Pelodiscus sinensis: one gene and its partners. The protein of the gene in region 1 interacts with the protein of each later gene in a pairwise test. Links are inferred from orthologs where the notes say so. Each region holds a gene or a part of one and is shown on either strand. Other genes may lie near its edges. The genes, in order: DAB1, MBNL1 and CLASRP.

Region 1 (9,762 bases):
TGGAGGACTGGGTCTGGCCATGGGGCTGCTCTTTGCCCACCTGTGGACTAAGTAGAATAAACAGTTAAAAACAGCTAAGGCTATGTCTACACTGGCAATTGAATGACAGTTTTTGTCATTCACAGATGCTACGTCCCCATCCCCAAAAGTTTTGCCACAGCAAGTGCTCATGTAAACAATGCTGCGTCAGCATGAGCACTCTCCTGAAGACAAAGCCAATGTGCTCGGGGGTGCGGGGGGTGGGAATAGAAATATTTTGTCGGCAAAAGTGCCAGCAAACAGTGGCTACACTATCCCACTTGTAGCAACATGGCTGTGTCACTGAAAACTATTTGATGCAGACATGGCCTTAGACGAAGGGTCAGGAACCTAAGGCCCGGGGACCAGATGCAGTCCCTAACTTGCCTGGATCTGGCCTCTGAAGCTCAGGGATCCACATCTGGCACTGGGGAACCTGCACTGGCACTCCAACCCCTCCCCTGCCTGTCGGGATGGAGCACACAAAATCTATTATCCTGGGCCCCCTCTAGGCTCAGGTGTGTGAAGGGAATGTGGGGAGTTTCTTCTCAGTTAGGGGCCACATCAGTGAGGGTTTGTTTGTTTAATTCTTGTACGCAGCTTCAAACTGATTTTTCTGAGAGTCAACGGCTCTGAACCAAAGGAAAAAAAAATTCCCCACCCCTGCCTTAGTGTTATACTAGGTTTTTTCTTGTGGCTCAGACCCATTGTGACCCCATTACAGGATTGTCAGAACAGTTCAGTCCAGCATAGGCACTGATAGGAGGAAGAACCAAAACATTTTTGCCATTGAGGGGGTCTAGAAGGATGGGGACACAGCCCAGAGGTGGCCAAGTATCTGGCAACACAGTCACTAGACATGTCAGCCAAGCACTTACTGGTCCCAGGATAGACCTTTCTGAGAGGCGCCAGTAATTAGAGCGACACCAGAAGGAACAGATTACAGATGTTCATGAGGGAGCAGTGGTGCACAAATCATGAAAAACATGGGTGGTGGGTGAAGATAGGGCTAGGGGAGAAAGCCCCTAGCCCTGCCCCCATGGTAGTGAAGCCACCCCTCCACCAGCACTACGGGGAGGTGGGGTGGCTCCTGCCTCCCTGCCCCCAGAGTATGGGGAGGGTGAGCGCTCGGGGACAGCAACACTCTGCCCCCAGTATGCCTACAGTAGGTGTTCTGGGGGCAGAGAATGGGCGGGGCCAGGATGGCAGTTTGGAAAAGCAATGCCTGCCCCTGCAAGGTTACCACACAAGAGACAAGTGACCAGAAGGAACAGGAAGCATTTGTGGGCCTTCAGGGAAACAGGTCATTTCAGCACTGAGACACAGAGCCAGGTGGTGGCCAACCCCACAGGGAAGGAGGAAAGCTAATCTGCTGGACACAGACAGGTAACAGGGCATCAGATAGGTCACTACTGGTATGACTGCATGTTGAGGAAACCAAACATTTCAAAGACAATACCACAGATTAAGCTGATTACAATTGGCCATACTTGCACATGCCAAAAGGGGTACGGGCTGGGGACCTGGGTGTCTATTTGTTTCTTGTGTTTATAAAAACAGGGTAGCTGTATCTTTGTGGAACAGGAGTCAGTGGGCCTTTGTTCTCTGGAGGGACTGTTATGGACATGGCATTGGGGAACTGACCTGTTGGCATTAGGCTGGGATGTGGGCAGCACTGCATGTTTCCACTTGTTTCACTTAACCTGCATTCAGCTTTAGTCATTGCTAATGAAACACCCTCTGCTTTGTGTAGGTTGAGTTTTTCCAGCATTTCTTTTATGCAGCCTTTCCTCATCTTTCGATCACTGCCAGGCATTATCAGGGAGATAAGACAAGGCCCACCTCGTATGTCTGCCGTCACTTGGGAGTTAAGCAATGATGCGTTAGTGCAGCAATAGCTTCCCTGGTGAAAGATATGGTGAAACCTGCAGTTGAAAGTGTGCTCTTAAAGACATAACTGAATCTGCAAACCTAGGCATGATGTTTCCTCTATCAGCTCCAGCTGTGTCATGTGAACTGCTGTGCAGATACGGCAGCCCTTTCCTTGAAGAAAAGTTTAAAGGACGTCAGATTTCATTACTCTCCTTGTTGGTGACTGACTACTCTCTACCAGTGGCTTTGGGGGTTATGGCTACCTCTCGCCTCCAAATCTGTATCAAAGGCATGTTTGTGGGACATCAATATACAAGCATAACTGATGACCGTTTTTGCAAATGCACCTGCCTATTCATGTCACCTTTCTTGTTCAGATCCTAAATGTGCATCTAAACTTGGCCTAACTAAAGCTGATTCTATAGACCTGAGACAGAGATTTAGAGGTGGTATTTGGCAGGGGTTAGTGGAGGATTTGCAAAGTGAAAGGAAGGAAATCCACAGGGCTAAGCTACAATGAAACCTGGCTGAAATTTCAGTATTGATGTCAACATACATCTGAAATTGTACAGGATCTAAAATACCTGTTCCCTAGGTTTGAATCTGAATATACTAAACAATTGTCTGTCTGGTATTGCAAGTGTTCCTGGTAAAAGGAACCGAAAATGTATTGCTCCAAATACTCATAAAACTACCATTTATTCATCTGTTTATATGACTGTATTGTCATACTATCTGAACTCTCCCACCACATACACATGAATTTATCCTCACAACAGCCTTAAAGGCAGCAAATAATTATTATTCCCACAGTAGAAATGAGGTAAAGAGAACACATTGCCAAGGATCCTAGTGGGGAAAGTGCGGCTTAGAACTGGGACCTAAACCCACATATTTAGAGTCTTAATTCACAGTTTTAACCACAAGACCACAGTTCTGATTTAATTCCACTGCTTTAGTATTTGATAGATTTTCCAGCAGGAAGCTAATTTGGGTATTCTAAGCTACAAGGACCCTTTCTTTTGAGACTTTAAGTGCAATTTCATGTTTCTTATCCCTTCTAGACACTAATTTTGGCAGAAAGGATATCTGATTGGGAGATTCTTTTTACAGATGTTCAAGAAATGTATCTTTCACAAAGACCTGGTGGGTGTCAACATAGATCAAGTCTTTGTCCTCTGAGTTAACATTTATATCCAGGAAATATCACTACCACCATTCTGACCTAATCCAAAGCACCCACAAGTAATGGAATGGCATAAACACAATGTGAGAAGGGCAATAAAGTTATATCTCAATTACACACAATCAATAAGACATTCAACAGCTTTATTTGTCCTTTATCAGTCAGCAGTTAAGGGTAACAGGATCTCTGAGCCATCCATTGTCACGATGGCTTAAGGTGTGCATCCAAGAAGTCTATAAAGCAGGAAGAGCTATTCCTCCTGTATTACATATGTGACAGAGGAGTACTGATAAGAGATGGAACCTTTTTCTCCTGGCCTTGGTCACGTGTGTTGGCTCATGGTTACATAAGGCTAACAACCCTGTTATAATCCACTGCATTCAGTGCCCACTATTAACCCCTCCTGGAAGGTTAATGCATACGCTCTCTCTCTCTCTCTCTCTTTTCTAAGGGGTTCAGCAACCAGCCATGCTCTGAAGATCAAGAAATATACAAAGCAGTTTAATTCTCACATTTTCTACATATTACAAGCGTGATCTCCTAGAATTAGCAAAAATCTCCAATGTGCATGTCTTAGTCGTGCCCTTTTCAAGCTCACCATTTAGTCATGTGTATTTATGGTAACAGTTTGTATCCTACCAGAGATTAATTTTACTGTTTGTTTCAGCCTATAGCAAGACTTTTGAGTGTGAATGGAAAGAAGAATAGGAAATTTGTACTCTCCTGATCAGTTTCCTTTTTTAACCATTTTTGCCTGCCAGCCCCCCTCCCCCCCACACATGGAAAAAGTGGGATTTACTTGAGGTCAGAGTTAAGTGAAATATGTAGAAACAGGTTGTGGATAAAGGGAATGTTCTGCCTGACTGTGCTATAAGTAGTAACTCAGAAATGTATTGCAGCTGCAGACGCTTTCATTTCTCAGAATGGATTTACTAGTAGTTACAGTAAGGGACCAGCATGCCCCCAAACCACAGGGAGAGCAGGAAACACAATCAGATGGCTAAGCAGAAATGACCGAAGAAAAAACATGATACTGTCAGTAAAATCTAAATCCATGCCCACCTACCTCTGGGTCACTGGCAACAAGGATCGAAGTTGGGATTTCTGACTTTGAGACCATGAACCTCTACTGCCTCAGCTAGAAGACCCAGTTTTGTTAGCCAAGACCATAGCAGGCTTGTCAGTCCTTATCAGGGTTCCAGATAACCTGAGCTGGGGACAGAGTGCCTGGCCAACTGGGGGTGTGTCACAAAAGATTTTGCATCCTCCATCTCTGGCCCTGGGGAATAAAACACTTTGGTCATCATTCTAATCTGCATTAACCTTGCCACTTTCAGGAAAATGTGTGATGTAAAGTCCATCTTTGTTCCATAGCTTTCCCTCAATAACTACTGCTTTCTGGCGAGGGGGTGAGAATGGTGAAGAAGAAAGAGTGGAGAGTAGAGGAAGGTGTATGAGTGTAAAGGGCAGTGGGGAAATGGATTAAGCCAATGGATAATGCTGGAGGAAGGGAACAAAAAAATTCCTCTTAATACATGCTCCAGGTTAAGGGTGAGATAAATTGTTCCATTTTGCTGGCATTATGCCTTCTTGCAAGGCACTGAGAAAGGAAGGTGATGAGCACTAGATAGGGTATTATCAATCTAGGGTTAAAAGCAAAACCATGTGACACTGTCTTTTCCTGATGTGGAAAATACCCTGTAAAGCCACAGAATGTCCCAGAACACAGGAATTAAAATTATGCAACACTTGTATACAGGTGCAAGGAACAAGATGGAAGAGTGTGTGACTAGAGAGTGATTAATAACGAGTCCTGGGTAGGACATACAGGGTGTTGTAAGTGAGCAGTATTACCCCAGCTATTTTAGGCTCTGGACACAGTAAGGGTCAGTTTCTCCCTTTGCATGCAAAGCTCATTGTACTTAGTGGAACGCTGAGACTGCTGAATTTGTTCCAGTGTGATGAATTAGGCTCACCTGGTCCCCTCAGGTGACTTTTGATACCTTTAGGTGGCATATCCTAATGAAGGGTGTAAGTGCCCCCTCCAGGTGGTTGCCTGTTTATTTGCTGTGCCTGCTGAGCCACAAATAGTCTGCTGATGAGACAGAGACCCAGGGAATCATTAAGGGCACTCGCACAAATGTGTTCCGGCACAGCAAAGCCAAGTGCACGCGTTAGACACCAGGCGGTGAAATGCTGTCGGGCTCCAGTATTAGGAGAAATGTGGTAGTGATGTATAAGGTATGAACGATGTGGCCTGCAGAGTACCAGCACTGCCTCTGCTGCTGTTGCTTCTGCTGCCGTGACTGAGGTGCTCTCACTGAACTGAAACTGCTGAGGATTTGCTCACTGGGATACCCATTGCCAAGTCGTTCGTTTCCAGGGATCTACTGCCCACAGGCAGACCCACAGAGCCCCCCTGGGGGAAAGAACTGACAGCACGAGGGGGGAGCCTTTTTCCTGCCACAAGAGGATGAGTGGGGGGCTGATCAGGGAGCAGCACTGGTTCAAGGTAGGAGAAGGTGTTTCGTTTGATTGCAGTAAAGAAGGAACGGGGGGCTCAGGGGAGGCGGTCTAGACAGATTCCGGTGTCTTGTCAGTGTCCAATTTCATATCGTGATATTTCACCCTCCTCCCTCCAAGGTGCTTGAATTGCCTGTATTTATTTCTGGACCTTCCAGTATGTTAGTATCCTAGTCCACAGAACCTGCTTTTTAGATCCTGCCAGTGGATCTGCCCCTACATGTCCAAAGGGTTTTTTGCTTTTTAAACCTAAAAGCTGCCGGTGGGTGTGTTTGGCGGGGGGGGGGGGGGGGGGGGGAGAGATCTAGAAAAGTCATGGTCAGAAAGGCTTTGCTTTAACCAGTGTGCATAATGTAGCCTCTCATTAGTGCCTTTGCCAATTGCACTTGGGTGCCTGGTTCCTATTCACTTTAAAGGGGGAGAAATAAATGGGCTTTAACTCAAAGTTTTGTTTTTCACTCAAAGACCTGTCAAAACGCTGGTGTTTGTCACACAGCAATTTGCAATCAGTGCAGGGGACTGATTCCTGGATGGAAACTGAAGTATGAATGTATGGGATTTATGCCCTGCCTTGTACCATAAGGGTTAAGACTCAAGGAAATGTGCATTTTATTATGCCTAGGTGGAAATGAGAATTATATGTCTGCTTAAATTATTTTGAACATGACAGAGAGGCTCCTCTAACACTTCCATTGCTGGAAACTAACAATTTACTTTAGAGACTGTTTTCAGAACACCAGGCTTGTTGATTTTCAGATTAAATGACCCTCTAACATTCTTTTTCTGTCTGCCTACCTATGTGTGTACATCCTAATAGGAGAAACTAGAACCAGCTGTTACAGATTGGTTTTGTATTTGTACCTAAATAAATATTTTGCTGCTTTTCAGACTGCTTCTTGATGCCTCCTTAAAATTGAGATGATTAATCAATTGGGTTAGTGGCCAATTAGGCATAACCTTGTAGGAAAATAATTATGCATGAGTATATGGGATTTGACTAGTAATGTGCTACAGTATGCACCCAGACTTCAATAGCTCCTTCCTAATGTGTGCAGATTCAGTGGTTTTTTCCCCCCCCCTTAATTCAAGATAAAAATCAAAGTGAGATGCCAAATGCTTTATCACTTGTAAAGGGACAATTCATTTTCCTTCTGCAGTGAAATATGTATTTTAGTTAGTTTTAAAACAAAGGGGGTGGGAAGCAGGAAGCTATTTTCTTGTCTGTCACGAAAGATTTTTCTCTTTTTTAAATATACTCTTTGTAATGCCACTGCTTGCTTTGGTTATTTGGTTTAGACAAATGAATTTTACTTCAGTGCCCTAGGAGTCTCAGAAGAGGAGGTTACAGTGTTATGCCTTTTGAGGACAGTCATTTTAACTGATCTTGTTAAGTAACACCATTATTAAATGAGTGAAAATTGAAGCAAATGCATTTTTCAGTGGTCACAAGTTCTGCTTCTGAGATAAATTTCTCTTTATGACTAGAGAGGTTTTTGCACTGCAGTATTACAATACAGCCATATTAAAAAGGTCCTTGGAGCAAATAACCCTCCAACACTGCAGCTTCATCTTCAATAGACTTAAGTAATTCTGGGGGAAATAATAACATTGGATTTAAACAATCTAGGCTGAATTGAAGTCCCCGTGCCCTCCCCCACGTTGTGTAAGCTTCTTGGAGCTTTTATGCCAGGCAGATATCTAAAACCCATGTCTAAAGTGAAAGAAAAACAAATATTGCCCCCTCCACTCCCCCCCCCTTTTTTTTGGTGCAACAGGTCCTACAGCCTTTTTAAAAATAGGTTGACAGTGATGTCTATGCTTGATTGTCAATGAAGTGTAGTGTCTATTTTCTGATGAACAGTGGTACATAACAACATTTTCTTCTCTATGTTGTTTTATTATGTTTCTATAATGTAACAAAATGGGGTGGGGGGGAGGAGAGAAGAAAACTTGGAATGAAAGAAAAGATTCCAAAGGGATTATTGCAGTAGCAATTTATGAGCTAATTAAGATTTATTCTGAGGCAAACTGCATGGTGGCTAGTGCTTTCATTGGGCTGTGGCATCGAAGTCAGTCATGATATAGGCAAGTACATGCAGTTAAGCAATCTCATACCACATCCATACTTCATAATTTTGAAGTGTAAAGAACAGTTGCAGGACTAAGCCAATTAACTTCAGTGCTAAAACTCTGTTTTTGAGTGGAGGTGAAGGGAGTTTGTTTTCTTCTCTGTAATTGCAGCTTGTATTTTCATTTCATTGGTGGTGGTGGTTTTTTTTTTTTTTTTTTTTTTTTTTTTTTTTTTAACAAATGAATCTTTATTTTAATAATGTAAAAACTGTAGAGATGAAGCAGAACAATCCAATTTGTTCCAAACAAGAAGCAGAAATCTCCTATAGTAGAACCTCAGTGTTAGGAACACCAGAGATCTAAACTGACTGGTCCACCTCATTTGGAACTGGAAAGATGCCATCAGGCTGCAACCGAGGCAGCCCACCACCACTCCTGCAAAAAAGGCAAATGCAGACGAGTACTGTGTTTAAATATAAACTATTTTTTTAAGGAATTGACAAGCAGGGTGACTATTTCTGTGCTTGTTTCGCTTAAGATGGTTAAAAGCAGTGTATTTCTTCTACATACTACATTTCAAACCTGCATGAAGTTAATTTCAACTAACTTTTGAAAAAACAACCATAACTTTTTGTTCAGAGTTATGAACAACCTGCTGAGGTCCTGCGACACTTAAGTTCGACTATATATGTAATTTGTCCCAAGTGGCCAGATCAGTCAAATGCTTGTGTGAACCAAACATTGCTCCACATAAACCTTTTCAGAAAAGATCCTCTCATTGATTAGAGAGTAATAGAGCTGTAGCTGTGTTAGTCTGGTCTTGCTGAAACAAAAGACAGGACTATGCAGCACTTTAAAGACTAACAGGATGGTTTATTAGGTGATGAGCTTTTGTGGGCCAGACCCACTTCCTCAGGTCAAATTGTGGAGGAAAATTGGCATGACCATATATACCAAAGGGATGCAATCAAAAAAAGTGAACACATATAAAATTGACAAATCTGATTTTAGAACAGAGGGAGGGTGAAGGGGGTAGGTTAGTGTCTCTGAGATAATGATATTAGGGGTGATAATTGGGGAAGGTGGCATTGCTCAGAGTGACATCTGTTTGACAGGTATTTATTGCAGAGTGATACTAAGGGCTCTTATTTTATATATGTAATGATAAGTTCTAGCAAGCTGACGGAGAGTTGAAATGTTACCTCTGTGAGCCAGATTTGATTAATATATTTACTATTTACCTTTAATCCAGGGCTTCAGTAACTGTAGTAATGTTCATTTTCTATCAATTTGCATGTGAGTAATTCTAACTGTAGAGGCTCATGCATGAAACTCCAGAGGTCCAGGTTCAGTTCTGCCTTTCAGCGCTACACACAACTATAAGAATGATCACAGTGGGTCAGACCAGTGGTCCATCTAGCCCAGTATTCTGCCTTCCAACAGCAGGGAATACCAGGTGCTTCAGAGGGAATGAGCAGAGCAAAGTAACTATTGAGTGATCCATCCTCTGTTGTCCATGTCCGCCTTCTGGTAGTCAAAGGCTAGGGAAACAGAAAATAGGGCTGATCCATGACCATCTTAGCTAATAGCCATTGACCGACCTATCATCCAGGAACTTATCTGGTTCTGTGTTTAATCCAGTTAATTTGTGGCCTTCACAGTATCCTCAGACAAGAAGTTCTACAGGCTTGACTATAAGTTGTTGTGTTTTGTTTTAAACCCACTAAAAATTAATTTAAAGAATTCCTATATAAAGGAAGAACTAGTAAAGGAGTAAAAATAGTTTCTCATTCACTTTCTCTACACTATTCATGATTTCTTTTTATAGAACTCTGTTATACTCCCATAGTTATCTCTGTTCCAAAATGAAAACTCCCGGTCTTTTTAAGTGGCTTCCATCTGAGGAGAAGTTCCATACTTCTAGCTGCTTTTTGTTGCCTTTCGCCATACTTTTTCCAATTCCATTATATTTTTGAGATGGGGTAACCAGAACCACATGCAGTATTAAAGGTGTTGTTATACCAGGGATTTATATAATGTCATTATGCTATTTATTCTCATTATCTATCGCTCTCCTAATGGTTCCTAAAATT
Region 2 (10,368 bases), on another chromosome or scaffold:
CATACCCTGCCAGGCTATTTCCACAGCACGGTGGGGATTTGCACAAATAATCATTAATATCACAGATGTGATCCCTTCCCCATGTGCACCCCCAAGGCACTGCATCTGTGAGCTCAAAGGGAAGAAAGAAATATTCCAATGGAGGTAACATGTCTTATAGCTTGTATTTTTGGCCCTCTGCTTATATCTTGGATCTCAGGTCTGCTCATATGAATGAAAAATCTGGTGTCTCATATGAATGACTAAATGTGTGAGTCTGTTACTAATGTGCCCCAGTGTAACTAAGGTGAATTTGCCATAGCCACAGTGAAGTCCTGCAGACTTTTTATTATTATTATTATTACTTATTATTTATTATTTTCAGTTACTGGACAGTTTTATTCAATGCCATATCAGTCTGGAACCCTGTAAATTTTCTTTACTGTAGCCAATACTGAAGATTCCTGTTAATAAAATACCTGGATGAACTGAATTTTTCTAATCACAGAGAATGGATTTAGTGATCCCTTGTAGCAAAATGACTCGTTATTGCAAATAAACCAAATTATTTAAAAAAGAACAGGTTTCAGTCAATACATTCTGCCAAGAGATCATGTTTTGGTATGAGGACATGTCTGCATGGCAAGAAGAATTTGAAGTATATTATGGATTTTCATGCGAAAATTCCATTTATTATGTTACCTTAAATCCACAACGATTAAGTGGAGCGCTACTGTACATGACACAAGATATCTGAAAAACAAATAGGTCCATATGCTGCTACTAAAAAAATCCCACCTTTGTGAACTGGGATGTTTGAAGGAAGAGATCTAGGCATCTGTTTCCTTCTCTACTATCTCTGTAATAGCCATGCCTCTCTCTCTAGTTGTCTCTAGGTCATGTCTCCACTTGCTGCACTGGAGATTGATTTTTCTGGCGTTCGATTTAGCGAGTCTAATAAGGATCCACTAAATCAAACGCTGAGGGTACCCCTTGTCGGCATCAGTATGCCTCAATTCGCAAGGAGTAAGAAAAGCCGAAGGGAGCATTTGCTCCCATCAACCTCCTGCTTTGGAGACGGCCCCAAGCTTCGCTTAAGGTATGTCGACTCCAGCTATATTATTTACTTAGCTGCAGTTGCGTACCTTAAGCCAGTCTTCCGGGACTAGTAGGGGTCCAGCCTCATGTACACTCTGCTCACCTCCATGGTATCCCTGGAGGGGTAAAGGAACTTTAGCCTGATGTCCCATTTGCCTGACACAGGTGATGGCTCTGTTTTGGAGTTACGTTCCAAGTGCAAGTCCCTTATATCCAGCCATGCTGACCAAGCACATACAAGGTCTTCTAGTTATTGTTTTCAAGAGCCTGTAGACAGAGGCTATGATTTGGCAGCCACATAGTGGTTATGCAGTTGCCTATGATGATGAATAATATATTTGTGTGATAGCAATTAAGGAGTTCCGGCTTAAAGCCCTGTTATGCTAGGCACTGTACAAACCCTTAGTTAGAAACACTTACATCATGAGCACAGTGTAATTAGGAAAGCCTAGCAAAATGAATGAGTTTTTATTATTTCTGTTTTATGGGACACTGGCGCACAGAGAGAATTGATCTGCCCAAGGTTACATTGGAGGTTTGTGGCAGAATGAAGAATAGAACTAGATGTCTCAGTCTCAGTCACAAGCCCATCCTTCTGTGACTGCAGGAAGTGTTTTCTACTTTAGGGTATGTGTAGTAGTGCTAAGCATCTTCAGAGCTATTCAAGGATGCAGAGATCCAGCCATCTCTACACTCTAGAATGCAATAGGATCAGAACTTTGGCACCATTGTCAAAGCTTATGCTGTTTTCACTTGATAGCAAAAGCTGTCAAACTCTAAGTGATTTTTGGCTAGTTCCATTTTCACATTATTACCTAAAAGGCTTCTGGCTTAGAACTCTATTGATCATACTTAATATATTTTGCCTAGGTGTATAGTGATATAAATTGTTCTTCTTATCAACTACAAGAAGTAATGGGCCTTTTTATGCAGCAAGGGAGATTTAGGTTACACATTAGGAAAAAACCTTCTTAAATGTAAAGATGGTTAAGCAGTGGAACAAATTATCTGTGAAGGCTATGGAATCTGTCTCTGGAGGCTTTTAAGAACAGGTTAGACAAACACCTGTCAGGGATGGCCTACATAATACTTAGTCCTTCTTCAGTGCAAAGGACTGGACTAGATGACTGTGATAGGGTATATGAACCCTTCAGGGGGAAGGAAGGGATTAAGGAGCAATTCTGGGCTCAGGAGAATTGGGCTCAGAGCATGCACAGGTTATAGGTGAGATTCAAAAGGCAGCCAGATGGCTTGGATGGTCTGGCAGGCCAGAGAGAAGGATATGTTTTGGGAGCTCCAGAGCAGATGTGGCGAGGTGCCATACTAATTCAGGGAATGGGGGAACCATGGAACTAAAGACTAGTACCAGGACAAGAAGCCTGGAAGGCAGCACTCCCCAGGGATGGCCAGCCGAGATATTGTGGGAGGTAGGAGGTGACCTAGGGAGGTTGACACAAGGCCCTGCATAGTAAGTGTAGTGGAACTAGCTTCCCAGCACCCTGGGTCAGAAGCCTGTGAAAAGGGACCCAGGTTCCTCTACCCATTGAGCACTGAACACACTAGGCAGAGTTGCTTGTTTGAGGACTGAACTAACTGGGTGCTAGAGGTGAACCTTTGGGAGTAACTGCTGTCTTTGGCCCTAACTGTTAGGTGGAGTATGCTGCTTCCTTCCCACAGTAACCAATTGAAGTTCCTTCCTCCTACATTTCCGTGAATCTGTTTTACTGATATTGTCATTTGTAGAGCTATAATATTATGATTATTTGTAGAAAATGAAAGAATTCAATGTAGCACTGAAAATGTATGAAGAATAATAGTTCATCGTGGGAATTCAGGTGGATAAAAAATATGCTAAAGTATAATATATAAAATGTGGCCAGATGGTGGAGGTAGGAGAATGAGATGACACCGCAGGACTCCCGAGAGGAATTCAGGATGTACTTGTTATAATCTTTCCAGGGCCTTTGGGGGAGTACATCCATTGAAAGTATTTGGCCTGCACTAATGATGGCCACTCTATAGAGGAGCCTCTTGTCTATCTTTGTGTCATCTAGTGCCCCACCAGTGCTATCTTAAATTAAGCCTTGCCTTACCTATTCAGGTTGTGGCTAATGCTGCTTGCTGCAAGGATGAGTTCTCTGCTTCTCCTCTTCTTTTGCCCCTAGCTAAGGACAGCCAAATCATGACTATTCTTAACCTTAAACTTGTAGAAATTTCTCTGTTTTCTTATATGCTAAAACCTGAAAGCATTATTATTCTGAACACTATGATTAAAAAGAAACTAGTGAATATAGGATGAAGCTATGCTCCCCATATCTGGGAGGAGAAGGACAAAAAGGCACATCTGGAGTGGATTCTCTGGCTTAATTCACAGAAGCAATTGCTGGCATTTGGATCTCCAGATAGGAGAGGGTATGTGTGTCAATGGACATGAAGCTGTAGAACAGCAATGTGAGCTGTTCCTTTACCAGCCTGGGGCATTTCAACAATGAAAACACTTATCTACTCTAGAGTTAATGTTGCTATAAGCAATACTAACCCCTCTCAGTGGCTACGAGAACCCCCGGGGAGACTGTGCAGCTGTGGAAGAAAGGGAGACTCCATCCCTGGAAGTGTGATTAATAAAGGACCTAAGTTGTACAGAGCAGTTGACAAAGAGGATTCCGGGATCCATACAGTGGACTTCTGCTTTCCTGTGTTGCTATCTGCAAGCAGATCCTTTCACCTATCTCTGCAGGGACATAAGCCCCTTCTACTGGATAGGAGAATGTTGAAGAAATGTAGCAAGGAGAGCCACACAAGGAGAAATTTAGCAAGAACTACCCCACCATTTCACAATGCCTCCCTTCAGATTTTGCCATAGGAGGCCAACCTCTGGTTTAGGTTTGCCAAATGGTTTCAACAAAAATACCGGACACACTTGACATTACATCACAATCTATATTACATCTTATTTAGAAAATACCGGACATTTCTATTTTCTCATTTATATTTTCTCAATTTGTTTCCTGAACAGAAAGCTCAAATACTGGACTGTCCAGTTCAAAACTGGACACCTGGCAACCCTAATCTGGTTCTGTCATGAGAGTGATTGTTTAGTGTACAGGGTGGACCTGCTTGGTCCAGCACCCTCGGGACCCGAGCTGTCCCAGACCAGGGAATTTGCTGGACTACAGGAGGTCAAGACTTCCCTGCTGGCTGCCCTGTTGACAGCTCTTCTCCCTGGGGCTCCCAAGGCTGGGGCTTCCTGCCGTGTCGCTGCCCCACTAAAGCTGGCCTGGCTGAGGCTTCCTGCCCTGCTGCCCACTGGCTGCATTGGGGTTTCCCAGGGATTCCCCAGCAAGGGCCTACTGGCCACCACCAGCCCTGTTATCTCTCGCAGTTCCTCGGTGTTTCCTAGCCCGGACCACTCAGCTGCTGCTGGCCCCGCTGCCACGGCCCCACTGCCACCGAGGGTTTCCTGGGGTTCCCCAGCCACCACCGGCTCTGCTGTCAGGGACTGTCCGGACACCTGACCCCACTGATACTGGGGGTTCCCCTGTCTAGCTGCTGCTGGCCCAGCTGGGGACTTCTCAGGCCCCATGTTCTCTTGGCAGCTCCCTCTCCTGGGGCTCTTTGGTCTAGCAACATCTGTGCCAGACTACGGATGTTGCTGGAACACAGAATCCCAGATTTGGGAGGTTCAACCTGTACTGTGTATTCTTGCCCTGGTACTCGACGTAGCCTCACCATTTTAGATAAAATCCCGTCTCCCTTGCACTTTGGAATTTAATTCTGTCTCAAAAAGTCTAGTTTTATAAACCTACTTAGTGCCCAAGAAATTAGATTGCCTGTATAAATATTTGCACACGTTTACAAAGAAGTTTTCACTTAACTCCATATTTTTAGACTGAATAGTTGAAGCATTTATTTTGTTAACTCCAGTAATTAATTAGGCTGTTGTTCATCTATTTGTGGAAGTCTTGTAGAATTCCAGAAGTGAATTCATAAGAGTGATGATTAGTTTACTCAACTAATTCTCTAATGTCTGAAATGTGGCAGCTATACAAATGTTTGCAATGGAAGTAAGCTGTCGTGTGCAGGAAGCCCAAAGACTGTAGTAGCTGTAATACAAATAACAAAGGAGGTTTTACTATATCTTGCCTACAAAAGTCTGTCATATTTAAGACTTTGCACCTGCCCTGTGATGTTGGTGGCTGAAGCAGGGTTGCAGATAGTAGGAGTTTCAGTTTTGTGAGGCTTTATCGGTTGCTAACAGACAAGTCTTCAGAAGGAAGGAAGTATAAGACCTAAGAACAAAAAACAAACAACCCCTCCCCCCGCCACCACCACCACCAAGTTTCCAGGAACTTGTAGATCGTCTTGCCAGGCAGGGCCAGTCTATCTTTTACACCAGATGTCAGTTGTCAGATTAGCAGTTAGGCCTTATGCTGAACACTTTTAATTGGTAGATTTTAAAACATAGAACCAATAGTTCATTCTTTTAATGTGAGCTGAAGATGGTAAGTTACAGTAGTTGCTTCAATTAGGGATGTGGCTTGAAATACAAAAGTACTTCCTCTCATGTCTTTTTTTTAATAGGTGGAAGTAATTTTTGGTTCTTTAAAAATACATATGCAAACCACAGCCTGTTGCCATGGTTACTACTGTATGCTAATGTGATTCGCTTATTTCACATTCTTAAACCTATAGGGTTTGGAAAGCATAATTATTCTGGCCTTTCACTATTTCCCCTTTAGTTAGGCCACCATCCTTCTACTGCGAAGAAAGAATGTTGTAATTAGCCCAGAGTATACAGCAGAACAGAGCTCTTCAAGGTGGTGGCGGCGGCTGTGTCACCGTATTACTTAAGCAGTTTTAACACCAAACCTACACTTGAGGCAGAACAGGTAAGAACTGAAGTTTCTCCTACTTGTTTGATTGTGTAAGTTGACATTAGAAATATGTAAAACTATCTAGTAAGTTATTCTGGAAGCTGGACTGTTTCATTGGAACTTTGTTATTTTTTATCTTGGTGATTTATATTGAATGACTGAAGATTTAAATAATATTTTATTACAGAGACAGGAAATTGGGACTCTCCATTTTGCAAGGAAACTTTTTTTTGGTGTGAAAACTATCACTAAAGCGTATGTTCATTTTTAGATTAGTACTGGTGGATAATGTGTTGAAATTATATTTTCCAAACACAAGTTGAAATTATATTTTCCAAACACAATTTGAAAATGAAGTCCTACTCTTGTGGATTCCTTCAAACTGGTCACTGCACCTACACAGAGTCCTTTTGGGGTTCTAGACGGGCACTGTATGATCTGACTGAAGGATCCCGGCTTCAAACAAACAAACAAGAAACCATTTAGGTGGCTTTTTCACTGGGCATTATTTTTGTCTCCCTTTTCTCTTACATCTCTGTAACTCTAAGTAAGTGTTCTGATGTGTTTAAATTGGTGTGCTGACTTTTTCACAATAGTTTTCCACTTTTACTATTTAATACTGTAGTAGTATTTGGAATATAGTTTTATATTTAGGATGAGAGCACAGCTGCCTTTAGGTATTATTGTAGGGTTATTTTATTCCTCCTGTTCATAAGGGGGCTAAATTCTGCTCACCGTTCCTGTTGACCCCAAGATTAACTGTCAGGAATAAGAGGAGCAGGAGCTGATGTGAAATGTAGATATTGTTCCAAGTGCATTTGTAAAATGTACTATAAAATAAAAAGACATTAATCCCCTGGAACCTGAGCTCCTGGCTTTCTGGTATGAAATATTTCATTGCCAATGAATGTCCCAGTGGTGTTTGATGATTAAATACCGAGTTGGAATGAAGTCAGAGTCCACCTGGGCTGAACTCCTGTACTACTCGAGATCAGAAGTCAAATTAAATGAAAGTAGACCCCTGCCCGTTTCTGACAGCAGAATTCTATTACTAATTAAAGAATAATAAAGAAACCACCTTCACAGGTGGTACATAGAGTATATCATAATTATGCACTTGGCTTATTTATATGTGTGTAAACTAGTGGACACAAAGATAAATATTTGATTATTTTAAAAAAATTACCGTTTGCACAGGTCTTCCAAAAAAGCATAGTACAGTGTAAGTGAAAGTTGAAAGATTTGTATTTGCTTTATTAAAATGCGTATTGTGATAACTCGCAAAGAACTAGAAATCTCTTTTAATTCTGTAGTCCAACCTATAAAACTACAGAATTTGTTGTCAAAACCTAGGAACAGACGTTCTTCATTAAAGCATTCACACTGTACTAACAATTTTTAAATGTTTTAGGGGTTTCTTTCTGTGAAATCAATAAAGAACTTATGAGAAATTATGAGAGTTGGACAAATAGCTTAGCAAGGATCATGAAACTTTTAGTTTGGATTTTTAGTAACTTGTATACTCTGCTTCAACAAAGTCTGACAAATAATGGCAAATTAGAACAGGCTGTATGTTGATTTTTGTGAACACAAAATATCATTGTGATTTGTACAAAACATGCAATATGCTGCATTAATAATACTCTGGTTATTAATATAATTAATAACACTATATTAAACTACAATTGTTAACACTGTATGTGAAGTTAGGAATTTCCTCTGTATCATTCATGCTACTAGAACATGTTGAAGACCAAATAGGCTATCCTAGATAAAGATGATCAATAAGTCTGTCCTAGACAAAAGAATACTGGTTTACTTTACATATTATCAGTAAACAAAGCTTTTGAGCTAAACCAGGGAGGGTTATCCTGAGCATGACCTCAAGAGACAGAGGTCTCCTGTGCTCCAGAAAGTCATGGGAAACGGAATCCCCAGAAGTAAAAGAAACTGTATTGAAGGAATCTCAGTAAGACTCCTTGCGCAATAAAATTCAACAAGATGCAAGGAAGAGTAGCAGAATTTGTCCACCACTGAGTGCGTGTGTATATATTCATTTATACGTGTGTGTATATATATATAAAGTATTAGAAATAGCCAGGATTTGTAGGGAAGCTTTGCTACTAATTTCTGATTTTATGCCATAGAGAGGCCCAGCTATTGCATATAAACCATCACAAGGCTACACCCATGACTGCTTGTATGATACAGTTTTGAAAAAAGGAATGTTGAGACATGTTTTCAAAAAATCAGAAGGATTGCTTTATGCACTAAAGTTTACAATTTTCTGACAGAAAACATGCAGCTTTTCTGAAGACATGAATTCCTGAGCCAAAAATCTAAATATCATATATATATATATATATATATATAGTACTTCTGCAATAGACATTACCAAATTGTGCACGAATGAGTTCTTTTTTCTACAATTGTTGAGAGAAATTTGAAGTTACAAAGAGAATACTGAAATGCATTTTTATCTTGTTCCCTAATATTATGCTCTTCCCAGAATGAATTGTGGCTCAATCTTTTCCCTTGAGATCACTTTAAAGTTGATTAGGTGAGACTAGGGGTGGGAGAAAGTGGTTAGTGAGTACAGTAAAACTCCAATAGTCTGGCACTCCTGATAGTCCAGCATCAAAATGGCAAGAGCCTAGTGAGTGAGCTTCTGCAAAAAATGAGTCACAAGGTAACAGCGGCAGCAGCTGAACTGCGCAAAAAGGGTAAAAAAGGCTTAAAAAAACTAAAACATTACAGTATACTGTATACAGTATGTACAATAAAAAGGGTTAAGAACACTTTATAAACAGTATATAATGTATACAGTATATATATATAACCAGCTTATAGTACCTCCTGATAGTCCGGCATATTTGATAATCCGGCACCACCTAGGTCCCATAGGTTCCGGATTATCGGAAGTCTACTGTACTGAGCCAGCAGGTTCACTATAATATTTCCTCTTCTGCAAGGGATGTGATCTCATATCCACATTTTATTTCACACCTATCTTAGACAATGGGTCCGACATCCTCACTGGGCCCCTGGGCAAGCTGCAGGGGGGCTGATCTGCTCCCCCAAAGGGGTGGGAGTGGGGATAGGCAACCCTCAGTGCCACCTGGAGAGGGCTGCACCTTCCTCAGGCAGTCCTCAGGGCTGCCCGGAACGTGCTGCATAGCACTCCAGCAGTGTTTTAAAGGGCTTAGGGCTGTGGCTGCTGTTGCACTAGTGGTGATATCAGCTGGGAGCTCTGGGCCTTTTGTATCACCGGGCCCCAGGACAGTTGCTCCCCCTTGTTGGTGGGCCTGACCTTAGGTAATAATAGGGGATTCTTATACCATTGGGCAATGAGACATTTAGAATATCTAGTATCTTAGGAGCAGGAACCTGCTTCATAACTGCTCTTCCTAAAGTTCCTAGAACTGTAAATTAGTGTATATAACCCGCACTCGTGTATAACCCGCACACATGCATAACTCACGGTTTTTCCTGAATGAGTAAAAAAAGTTTTAGAGAACCTGTGGACATGTATAACCTGAGGGTTATATACGCTACTTTAAGGTAATTGCACATACCTGCTGTCAGCAGGGGGAATGTAGAGCCTAATGCAAGCGAGCTGGCCAGCCTGCAGGAGGGGAGCCGCACTCACACCCAGGCTCCGCGCAGTCACAGCCAGGCGCAACCCACCCTCCTCCGAGCAGGGGGAACGGAGACCGCAGCGCAGGCGAGTAAAAATAAACTTGTATACCCTGTGATCATGTATACCCCACGGGGGGAGGGTTGTAAAAACGTGTATAACCCGCAGGTTATATACGCTAAAAGATGCTATTCTGTTGCTGGGTTAAAAAATAAGGAATTAAAAATTAGGTAAGTTATGTGTTCCCATACCAGGCTGTAATAAAAACTAAACTGGAAGAACAAGTTCACTGTAAAAATCCTGCCAGGAGACTATCAAGGCATTCACAGCCAGTGTTTTTAATTGTATTAACTGTTGTATCTGTATTATTATTTAATATTTATATAAAACCTACTGAATGACATGTGCTGTACAGATAAATATAAAAACAAGTTCTCTGCCTCCAAGTTTATAATCTTAAATATACGATGTACATATGGGAAATGAGCTGCAGCCAAAAGCAAAGCACTTGGCCAAGCTCATCAAGTGACTTGTTGCCATGTTTTTTATTTGGGAGACCTTTGGTTTTCTTGTAGGTGTTCTGATGACTGTTTTGTTCACAACTCTTAAGGTGAGGACTGGAATTTATGGGCCATCTGGGTAAAGTGAATTGTAAAGAATCTTGCGGTAAGAAAGAGTTACAGGATGGTGAATTGCCTCAGTTGCGGGGATGGAGCAAGTTTGCAGGAGTGCACTGATGTAGACGCAGAGACAGGAGTGGAAGAACGATACAAAGGAGGT
Region 3 (9,642 bases), on another chromosome or scaffold:
GTCCCAGCTTGCGCTGATTGCTGCGCCTCTATTTTAAATGCAATAAGAGCCCAGCGACTCTTACTACATTTAAAATGCAGAGCCTCAGCGTGGGTGGCTCCTGGAGCCAGCATGAGCCTGATAACCACATTTTAGTATCCTTAGTTACGCTTTATGATTCTAGCTACTTCGTTGCGTGTCTTGGCTTTTCTAATTTTGTCCCTCCATATATCTGATGTTTGTTTATATTCATTTCTTATACTCTGACCGAGTTTCCATTTTTTGTATTACTTTTTTTTAAATTTCAGATCACTGAAAATCTCTTGGTAAAGACAGGGTGGTCTCTTGCCCTGCCTCCTATCTTTCCTATGCAGTAGGCTAGTTTGCACTTGTCGCCTTAACATCTCTTTGAAAAATAACAACAAATAATAAAACGCATCATGAAGGCAACAGAGTTGATGGAAATGAGTGTTTAGAAATTGAAATTAACACATCTGAGGTGGAACATAATCTTAAAGAGCTTAACGCTCTCAAATCAGTGGGACTGGATAGTTTCCCTCCCATAATACTGCAAGAACTGGCAGGTGAATTAGTTAATCTGGCAGCAGGAATTTTTATTAACTGCATGTACGCATGGATAGCATCATAGAGCAAGAAAATGGCTAACATTTTATCTATATTTGAGAAAGGAAAAAATTCTGGACAACTACAGACCTGTTAGTCTGACTTCAATAGAATGTGCATCTTTGAATTATGAAGCAAACAATCATTAAATTCCTAGAGGCAAACGGAGAAGGGGATGTAATGCAATATGGGTTCCCAAAGGTAGATCATGCCCAACTAATCTGAAAACTTTCATTGAGAAAATAATCCATTTTTAGATAAGAGAACTGAAGTAGATTTAATTTACCTAAGCCTCAATAAAGCACATGATAATTTCCTGTTTGGTACAGTATTAGTAAAATTAAGGAAGACAGGCATCAGTACTAGGGCTGCTAGCATTTAAGCTGATGTTTATCAGTTATTGTTATCGATTAAACTGCCCTGCTTCTAGGGAGGTGGCTTTGCTGTGGCAGCAAAGCCGCTTCCCCGGGAACAGAGCTGGCAGCTCCGCTAATGGGGGAGGCTTCACTGTGGGCTCTTGTAGCATGAAGCCTATTTAAGATTTATACTGCAGAGATCGCAGCACATGTAACCACTACAATTTTTGGCGGTTACCTTTATTAAACAACTTTTAAATATCCCTAATCAGTACAAGCATTGGCTAAGGAACTGGCTAGAGGGGCGAAGACAATGGCATGTGCTGAAAAACCAACTATCTGACTGAAAGAAAATTATTAGCTGCGTTCCTCAAAGATTTGTCTTGACATCAACACTACTGAATACCTTTATTAATTCAGGTCTTAGAGGGGTAGCCATCTTAGTCTGAATCTACAAAAACAAGGAGTCCTTTGGCACCCTGAAGATTAACAGATTGATTTAGACATAAGCTTTCGTGAGTAAAAAGCGCTTTGTCAAATGTATCTATGTATCTGACAATTTTTTTTTTCCACTAGGGATGTTACATTTTGTTTAATCAGGTAATCAAGTAGTCAATGGAATTCTCTGGCCCCAGGACCTAACCCGGCTGTGGTTCTGCTTTTTAAACATAGGAACAGCTGCCTCGCTCTTACTACATTTAAAAGGCAGAGGCACAGCGGGGACCAGGCATGAGCTCGGACAGCTGATTCCTGGCTCACGCCTGGTCCCCCACTGTGCTTTTAAGTCAGCTCCCCCAAGCATTGGCTCCTGCTCCCCCACCTTGCTGCCTCTGTTAGGGGCGGGGGGGGGGGGGGCCTAGTTAAGTAGCCAGTTACATACCTATTTTTTATCCACAAAAGTTTATGCCCAAGTCAATCTGTTAGTGTTTAAGGTACCACAGGACTCCTCGTTGTTATTCATCCATTCCAATACCAAAACGGACCACTGCGACCATAACCTGACATCTTATAAAACAAAGGGCAGAGAACTTCCCTAAAATAATACCCAGAGCAGATTTTTGAGAAAAACAGCCACCCTTGATTTAATAATTACTACTGATGGAGATCCACAATCCTTGATAAATTGTACTATTGGCTAATTACTCTCACTGTAAAAAATTAAAACCTTATTTCTTATCTCAATTTTTCTAGCTTCAGCTTTCAGGCACTGGATCATGTTATACCTTGGACTGCTAGACTTAAGTGCCCATTATTAAATTTTTTGTTCCCCATATAAACATAGACTGTGATCACGTCACCCTTTAACCTTCTCTGTTGTAATAAATCAATTATGCTCCTTGAGGATACTTTCTAATCCCTCAACTGTTTGAGGCTTCTCTCTGTACCTTTCCTGATTTATCAACATCCTTCTTGAATTGCGGGCACCAGACCTGGATACAGGATTCCAGCAATGTACACCAGTACCACAGAGGTAAAAACTTCTCTACTCCTATTTCACATTTCCCTGCCTGTATGGTCCAGCAATGCATTTGCTCTTTTGGCCATAACATCACACTGTAAGGTCATGTTCAGTTGATTAGCTCACACAACACCCCAATCCTTTTCAAAGTAAGTGCTTTCCAGGACAATCTCTCCCAAGCATATGCCTGACCATGTTCCAAGGTACAATCCTTATTGAAAACTGAAGTAAAACATTTTAGGAACATACCTAGATTACCTTTAGTCTTCTCCCCATTCACACCGCACAGTGACCCACTCGCTGTCTTCCTTGTTCTTTTATTTGTATCAGCAGCTCTCAATCAGGAGTCTGAGGCTCCCTGGGGGAGGGGGAAGGGGTCACAAGCAGCTTTCAGTGGGTCCACCAACAATTGGGGCATTAGACTCAAAGGGCCCCAAGGCACAAAGTTGAAACCCTACCTCTGAGGGCTGAAGCCAAAGTCTGCGAATTGGTTTGGAGCCCTGAGCAACCACCTGCTTGCTACCCCTTAATGCCAGCCTGGCTTTTACATGCAGAAAAACAATTGTGGCCCAGCTGTGACAAAAAAAAGTTTGTCTAGTGGGGGGAGAGCTAAGAAAAAAGAATGAGCATCCATTTTATATAATTGCACAAAGCTCCATCCTACACCAAGAGGGGAGATGCCTAAATTGCTGCTCAGATATGCAGCAGTCTATTAAGCACTGCAGAGGTGCTCAGGGCTGCGGCAGGGATGCCTCTTTCCCCTGGCCCCAGCACAGCCCAGTCCTGCTGCTGAGAAAAGTCGCCCAGCTCCAACCTAGACCTGCAACAGACAGGGTGGGAGAGGAGGAGGGGATGCCTAGGTTTTCCAGGGCCAGCAGAGAAACACCTATCCTGCAGCCCCAGCTCTAGAGCTGCTGCAGCGGAGTGGCATTTCTCCTCCTAGCCCAGGAGCTGCTGATGAGGGGAGAGAAAACTAAGGGTGAAATCCTCTCTCCCCACCATAACCTCAGGGAAACCGGCACCCAAAAGTCCTCATCTCTGCCCCCACAATCTGCCTGACCCCGCGCTCCTCCAACCCCCTGCTCCAGCCCTGAGCCCCTCATCCCCACTCCTCCTCCCAGGACCTCAACCCTCTGACCCAGGGCTCAGCCCCCCTCCAATAATGTTGTGAGGTGCGCCAAGGGGGAGGTGTGATGTGTTCACGTCACCTCCACATCTGTGTGCCTAAAAGACGCGCTCTGCACACTCCGGGGGAAACGAGAAGGAATAATGGGCCGTGCCCAGCTACTGCCCCCCAGACCCTGCCTGCCCCACACGGGGGGGAGGGGCCGTGCCCAGCTACCACCCCCCCAGACCCTGCCCACCCCACACGGGGGGAGGGGCCGTGCCCAGCTACCACCCCCCCAGACCCTGCCTGCCCCACACGGGGGGAGGGGCCGTGCCCAGCTACCGCCCCCCAGACCCTGCCTGCCCCACACGGGGGGAGGGGCCGTGCCCAGCTACCGCCCCCCAGACCCTGCCTGCCCCACACGGGGGGAGGGGCCGTGCCCAGCTACCGCCCCCCCAGACCCTGCCCACCCCACACGGGGGGAGGGGCCGTGCCCAGCTACCGCCCCCCAGACCCTGCCTGCCCCACACGGGGGGGAGGGGCCGTGCCCAGCTACCGCCCCCCAGACCCACACGGGAGCTTCCTACCAGCGGCGCCCTCCATCACTCACCGGAGTGGGGGGGGCGGGGCACAGCCGCTGCCCCGGAACCGGAAAGGCGAAAGCGTCACCGCCCCGCCGGCGGGTGCCGATCACGTGACTGGATTACCTCAGCCAATGGCGGCCCGTCCGCTCGCGGCGGGCGGGGCAAAGGGGGGGGGGGTTCTGCAGCGCGGCCACGTGGCGGGAGCGCGGGCCGGGCCCTGTGTGAGACGATGGGGGGGGTGGAGGCGCTGCTGCCCCCCCCCCCCAATGAGCAACTGCGGAGTGTGCTGGGGGTGCACGTTGGCACTCAGCACAGACACGTTATTCTGCACTGGGGTGGGGAAAGCAGAGGGGACATTGCACCCCCCCCCCCGGGACATCCCCCCCGCACCCCCCCCCCCGGGACATCCCCCCCCCGCACCCCCCCCAGCGTTCCCTGTAAGCTGTGCGCTTGGGTCACCCGCAGCGAGCAGCACGTTTCTACTGGTGAACGGCTGCACGTGCTTCCCTGCACATCACATTTATTCTGCTAACATGGCGCATGGGCATGTACTTGGCAGAGTTCACCCCCATCCCGACACCTGCCCCTTCTGCAGCACGAGGGAGAACCTGGCGCACACCTACCCAGAATGCATCAGGTTGCAGCCCCTTTTCCAGCTCCTGAACCTCTTGCTGAGTGTGTGGGTGCACTTTGCCTCACTCCTTTTTATTTATGCACAGCCCACCCAGCGTCCCCACAAAGTCGTGAGTCCTTGTCAACCTCCTCTTGGCCCTGGCAAAAGCCGCTATATACGATACCAGCAGAAGGATGCTAGATGAGAGGGTGCTCTGCGACTGTGGGGCCTACTTCTGCTCCTACCTAGTCTCACACATCCAGGCAGAGTTCCTCTGGGCAGCGTCCACTGGCTCTGTGGATAGCTTCGAGGAGCAGACCCCGTCTGAGGTTCTCTGCTCTGTATCACTATCCAGTTCCCTCATTTTAAACCTTTGACTACACCCCAACCCTGGTTTTCATCATTTGTCCCCCATAATCAACTGAACCCTGGGTCCAGTTGTCCTTCCTGCAAGGCTGGGGCTCCCCCTAACATAGGGGAACCGGTGCTGATGCTCCAGCCGCCCGCCTAACACTCACGGGGCTGGAGCACACAACATCTCCTCTCTTAGGCCCCTCCCTCCGAAGGCTCTGGTGTGCGAGGGGAATGTGGATAATGTCTTTCTCATTTGGGGGGGCTGCCTCAATGAGGGTTTGGGGGGTTGCTTCTCACTTGTGTGTGGCCCCCCACTGATTTTTCTGTGGGGCAGCAGCCCTCAGCCCGAAAAAGGTTCCCCACCTTGTGCTACACCTTTAATCTATGGATCAGAGTGATTCCGCTGCTCCGTAAGGGTTTCTCTAAAGCAGGCCCTGGCTGTAGTACACAGACAGTCCCTTTCCAAACCAGGAGCTGGAGAGATTGGGTTTGGAGGGAGAATTTGCCTCTGCTCTGAGAGAATGTGTCTGGCGGACTGGAGCCTTGTGGCCAGTGTATTCGGTCTGTGAGACAACGCTGATGCCGCAAGTATTACTGCAGCCACATCCTGCTTGTGCTTTCCTATGACCCTGGATATCAGGGGAATGACATACAGGAGGCCTTGAGACCAGGAAAATGGGAGAAGTACTCTGGAGGGAGCCAGTTAGTTAGTGACAGACATGGGCGATCTCCTCTGTGGAACACAGGGTCCAGAGCAGAGACCCTTGTGGGACTAGTGAGAACTGCAATTGAGGTAACCCACAGGCCTGTTTCTTCCCACAGCTCGTACTCTGGGTTACAATCTCTAAGCAACTAGCAGAGGTGCCTCAGCCTCCCCTTTCATCAAGAGCCCAGGTAACTTCCTCAGAAGTAGCATTCCTCTTTCTGAGATCCGCAGGGCGGCCCATGCCTTCCCCGTGCATTAACCTAGGATCTGATTCCTGGTTGTGATGCCAGATGTGGGGGATCCTTGTTTAGTCAGCTCTGAAATATTGGGTACTCTAAAAGGGTACAGCTTGCTCAGGAAGGGAAGGCGGGGAGGGGGAGGAAAGGGAGGAGGTGTTGCCTTGTGTATCAAATTTATAAACACTTGCACTGAGATTTAGGCAGAAGTGTGGGGGGAGGCAGAACTTTTGAAAGTTTCTAGGTAAAGATATAAGGGTAAAAAACCAAGAGTGATGTCATGGTAAGGGTGCATTGTAGACCACCTCGCTAGGAGGAAAAATAGATGAACTAGGATTTCCCCTAGCTCCCAAACAAATATTAGGAAGGTACTAGCTAGTTGCTAGGGTGAACGCCACGTGACAAGGACTCCCATAAAGAGCAAGTACTTTCCATAGAGTTACTGTGGTTCTAGCTGCTTTATCAGTGGGAAGCCACTACTCACCCTTCTCTGCTTGAACTGGGTTTGATACTCAAAGGCTGTGTCTACACTGGCAAGTTATTCCGGAAAATCAGCCACTTTTCCGGGAAAACTTGCCAGCTGTCTACACTGGCCACTTGAATTTCCAGAAAAGCGCTGACGATCTAATGTAAAATCATCAGTGCTTTTCCGGAAAAACTATGCTGCTCCCGTTCAGGCAAAAGTCTTTTTCCGGAAAACTGTTCCGGAAAAGGGCCAGTGTAGACAGCACAATAGTGTTTTCTGCAAAAAAGCCCCGATCGCGAAAATGACGATCGGGGCTTTTTTGCGGAAAAGCGCGTCTAGATTGGCCACAGACGCTTTTCCACAAAAAGTGCTTTTCCGGAAAAGCGTCCTGCCAATCTAGACACGCTTTTCCGAAAATGCTTTTAACGGAAAACTTTTCCGTTAAAAGCATTTCTGGAAAATCATGCCAGTGTAGACGTAGCCAAAAGGTTTTCTCCTGCAGCCCACAGCTAGAACAGCAACGTGCAACCAAGGCTAGTGACTGGGCCACATGAGTGACCCTCCGTCACCTCAGTGGGCCGCAAGATTATCGTAACCAAGACGGTCTCCTAGAACAGGGCAGTTTGCTCATAGTGCTTGTGTACCTAGAATTTGCAGGGTGTGCCAATGGGACCATGGCAGCGCTGTGATTGGCTGCAGCGGGAGCACCCGGCTCTCACAGTGTGTGGGGGCACCAATGGGACCATGGCAGCACTGTGATTGGCTGCAGTGAGCACACAGGCCACAAGTTGCCCACCACTGGTCTAGATACCCAGGGAAGACAAAGTGGCTCTAGAGACTCTGGAAGGAGCCGGAGCCAGAGCCAGAGGATGGATTGCTCCAGCTGGCAGAGTGTTGGCCACTACTAAGACCGGCCAGCCACTTAGGGGGAAGGGCTACATCTCGCTCCCACAGCCAGAAAAGGGAGCAAGAGGCAGGCAGAGCGAGTGGGAGTAGGAGCACATTCAAGGGGCTAGTGCTGCTCCAACCGCTGCTGGTCAAACCAGAGACACATGAACTGTCAGTAAAATCCCCCTGGACTGACACAGAAGAACTCCAGGCTGCCGGGCACCAGGAAGTCGAGGCTGCAAGAAGCGGGTGATGGGTGGCAGCTGGAGAGGCCAGGAGGCACTGGTTTCCCCAGAGCAAGGGTTCCCAAACTTTTTGACACGGGGACCAGTAAATCCATTCACAAATTTTTGGAGGACCAGTAATGGTCATTTGCATATTTGCATATTCATTAATCAAATGATGAATATTCAAATAAGTTATTTCTGGTCCTCCCAAAACCCCCAGTGCCAGCTTTAGCAAAGCTTTTGATATGGTCACCCATAATATTCTTGCAAGTTAAGGAATATGGATTGGATAAATGGACTGTAAGACAGACAGAAAGCTGGTTAGACCAGGGTTTCCCAAACTTTTTACTTTAGTTGGAACCCTTTTTTTTCCAGTACTGTTTTTTGCAGCCCAAAAATATAAACACATAAAAAACAAACTGAGAAAATACCAGACATATAACAGGTCTGGTATTTTCTCATTAGGCAAATTTTATTATTACTAGATGTATCAGTTTGTAGTTTCAAACTGCCTGGCTGGTAAATGTGCTCAGGCTGCATGAGTGTGTCTACCAGCCAGTTCGCAAGTACTCGAGGGTGTGTGTGTGTGGGGGGGGGGGGGAACAATAGAATCCCCGGGTTGGACTAACTTGTGCTTTGCGGGGGGGGGGGGGGGGGGGGGGGGAGAAGGGGGGCAGCGCCCGAGAGCTGCATATGACTGGGTCAGTCTCGCTCCCTGCCAGCTGATTCGCTCCCCACCCTCCGCCTCTGGCCAGCCCCACTTCCCCCAACCCCCTCCCGGACAGCCAGTTTCCCCCCCCCCCCCCCCCCCCGCTTCTTCTCCCAATCTCCCTTGGCCAGCCCAGCTGCCTGCTTCTAGCCCTGCTTCCTGCAGCTGCTTCTGCCCCCCTCCCCCATCTTCCCCAGCCAGCTCCCTACCCCCGACCTCGTGCCCCTCGGCAGCCCTGCTTCCACCGGCTCCCCAATCTCCCCGTCCCGTCCCACCCCGATTCCCCCGTCCAGTACTGCTTCCGGTGGCCGGCTCTCCCCTCCTCCTCCTCCCGCCGCCCTCCCCTAGCTAGGACTCTGCCGGGAACTGGAACATCTGGCTGCAGACTCCGCCCAGGCCAGCTTGGGGGACCCGACCCCACACGGGCACTCCGGGAGCACAGAACACCCCGGCAACCATGCTGAGGCCCGGTAGTTTTTTCCTGCGGCCCGCTATGGGGCCGTGGCCCATAGTTTGGGAAACGGTGCCCCAGAGTATGGGGAGCAGACCCTCGACTGGCTCTGAGGGTGGAGTGCCCCCTAGCGTTAACTTAGGGTTAAGGGTACGGACCTTAGCTAATATAGATACACTCCCCTGGCAATGATGCAACTTAGCCTCTGTTAGCGTCCAGCCGCAACAGCACAAGTCTCTCTAAGGCTACGTCTAGTCTGCAAGCCTCTTTCGAAAGAGCGTCTAGACTACAACCAGTACTTTTGAATACAAGCCACTTTTTTGAAAGAGAGCACCCGGGCAGTCTGGATGCTCTCTTTCGAAATAGCAGTTTGCATTACATAGCGCCTTTTTTCGAAAGAGCACTTTCAAAAAACGCATTCTTCCTTGTAAAACGGGGCTTTCTGTGCTCGAAAAAACTGCTGCGTTCTTTCCATTTCCTTTTGAAAGAATGCGGCAGCAGTTGGTAAAAAAATTTTTACGTAGGTAAAAAAATTTCGAAAAAAGGTCACTTTTTTTGAAAAATCCCTGTAATCTAGACATACTCTAAGGGAGCTAGCTACGGGGTAGCTCCGCCTGGGTACAAGAGGATCTATGGGCACTTAACCTGCTGCCTTAGCAATGCGAGCTGCCAGCTTTTTGGCATTTGCGGGCTGAGCAGGGGGCTACTGTGACTCAGTATTGTACCACTGCGGTTTGGCGGGAGACCACGTAAGATGAGTAGGGTTCATGCCCAGAACCTGAGTAATTCTGTTTGGTCTCCCTACACACATTCCTCTCCCCCCAGGATTTTCACATGGTGCCCTTTTTCACTGTGGCACACCATTGCTGTGAGACGTCTGTG

The links.
Region 2: the proteins of DAB1 (region 1) and MBNL1 interact in binary tests that used the Homo sapiens proteins (3 or more experiments, as listed by UniProt). The link is inferred for Pelodiscus sinensis from reciprocal best matches to the Homo sapiens genes DAB1 and MBNL1.
Region 3: the proteins of DAB1 (region 1) and CLASRP interact in a two-hybrid assay, tested with the Homo sapiens proteins (2 studies listed by BioGRID and IntAct). The link is inferred for Pelodiscus sinensis from reciprocal best matches to the Homo sapiens genes DAB1 and CLASRP.

What each region holds. Positions count from the first base shown.
Region 1 is NC_134719.1:13,961,553-13,971,314, reverse strand, and holds the start of DAB1 (disabled homolog 1), read left to right. Parts: upstream 1-5,269; 5' UTR 5,270-5,588; intron 5,589-9,762. UniProt on the Homo sapiens protein: Signaling adapter of the reelin-mediated signaling pathway, which regulates the migration and differentiation of postmitotic neurons during brain development.
Region 2 is NC_134720.1:27,566,962-27,577,329, forward strand, and holds the start of MBNL1 (muscleblind-like protein 1), read left to right. Parts: upstream 1-5,710; 5' UTR 5,711-5,966; intron 5,967-10,368. UniProt on the Homo sapiens protein: Mediates pre-mRNA alternative splicing regulation. Acts either as activator or repressor of splicing on specific pre-mRNA targets. Inhibits cardiac troponin-T (TNNT2) pre-mRNA exon inclusion but induces insulin receptor (IR) pre-mRNA exon inclusion in muscle.
Region 3 is NC_134743.1:2,243,974-2,253,615, reverse strand, and holds the start of CLASRP (CLK4-associating serine/arginine rich protein), read right to left. Parts: upstream 4,161-9,642; 5' UTR 4,114-4,160; intron 2,777-4,113; 5' UTR 2,668-2,776; intron 1-2,667. UniProt on the Homo sapiens protein: Probably functions as an alternative splicing regulator. May regulate the mRNA splicing of genes such as CLK1. May act by regulating members of the CLK kinase family.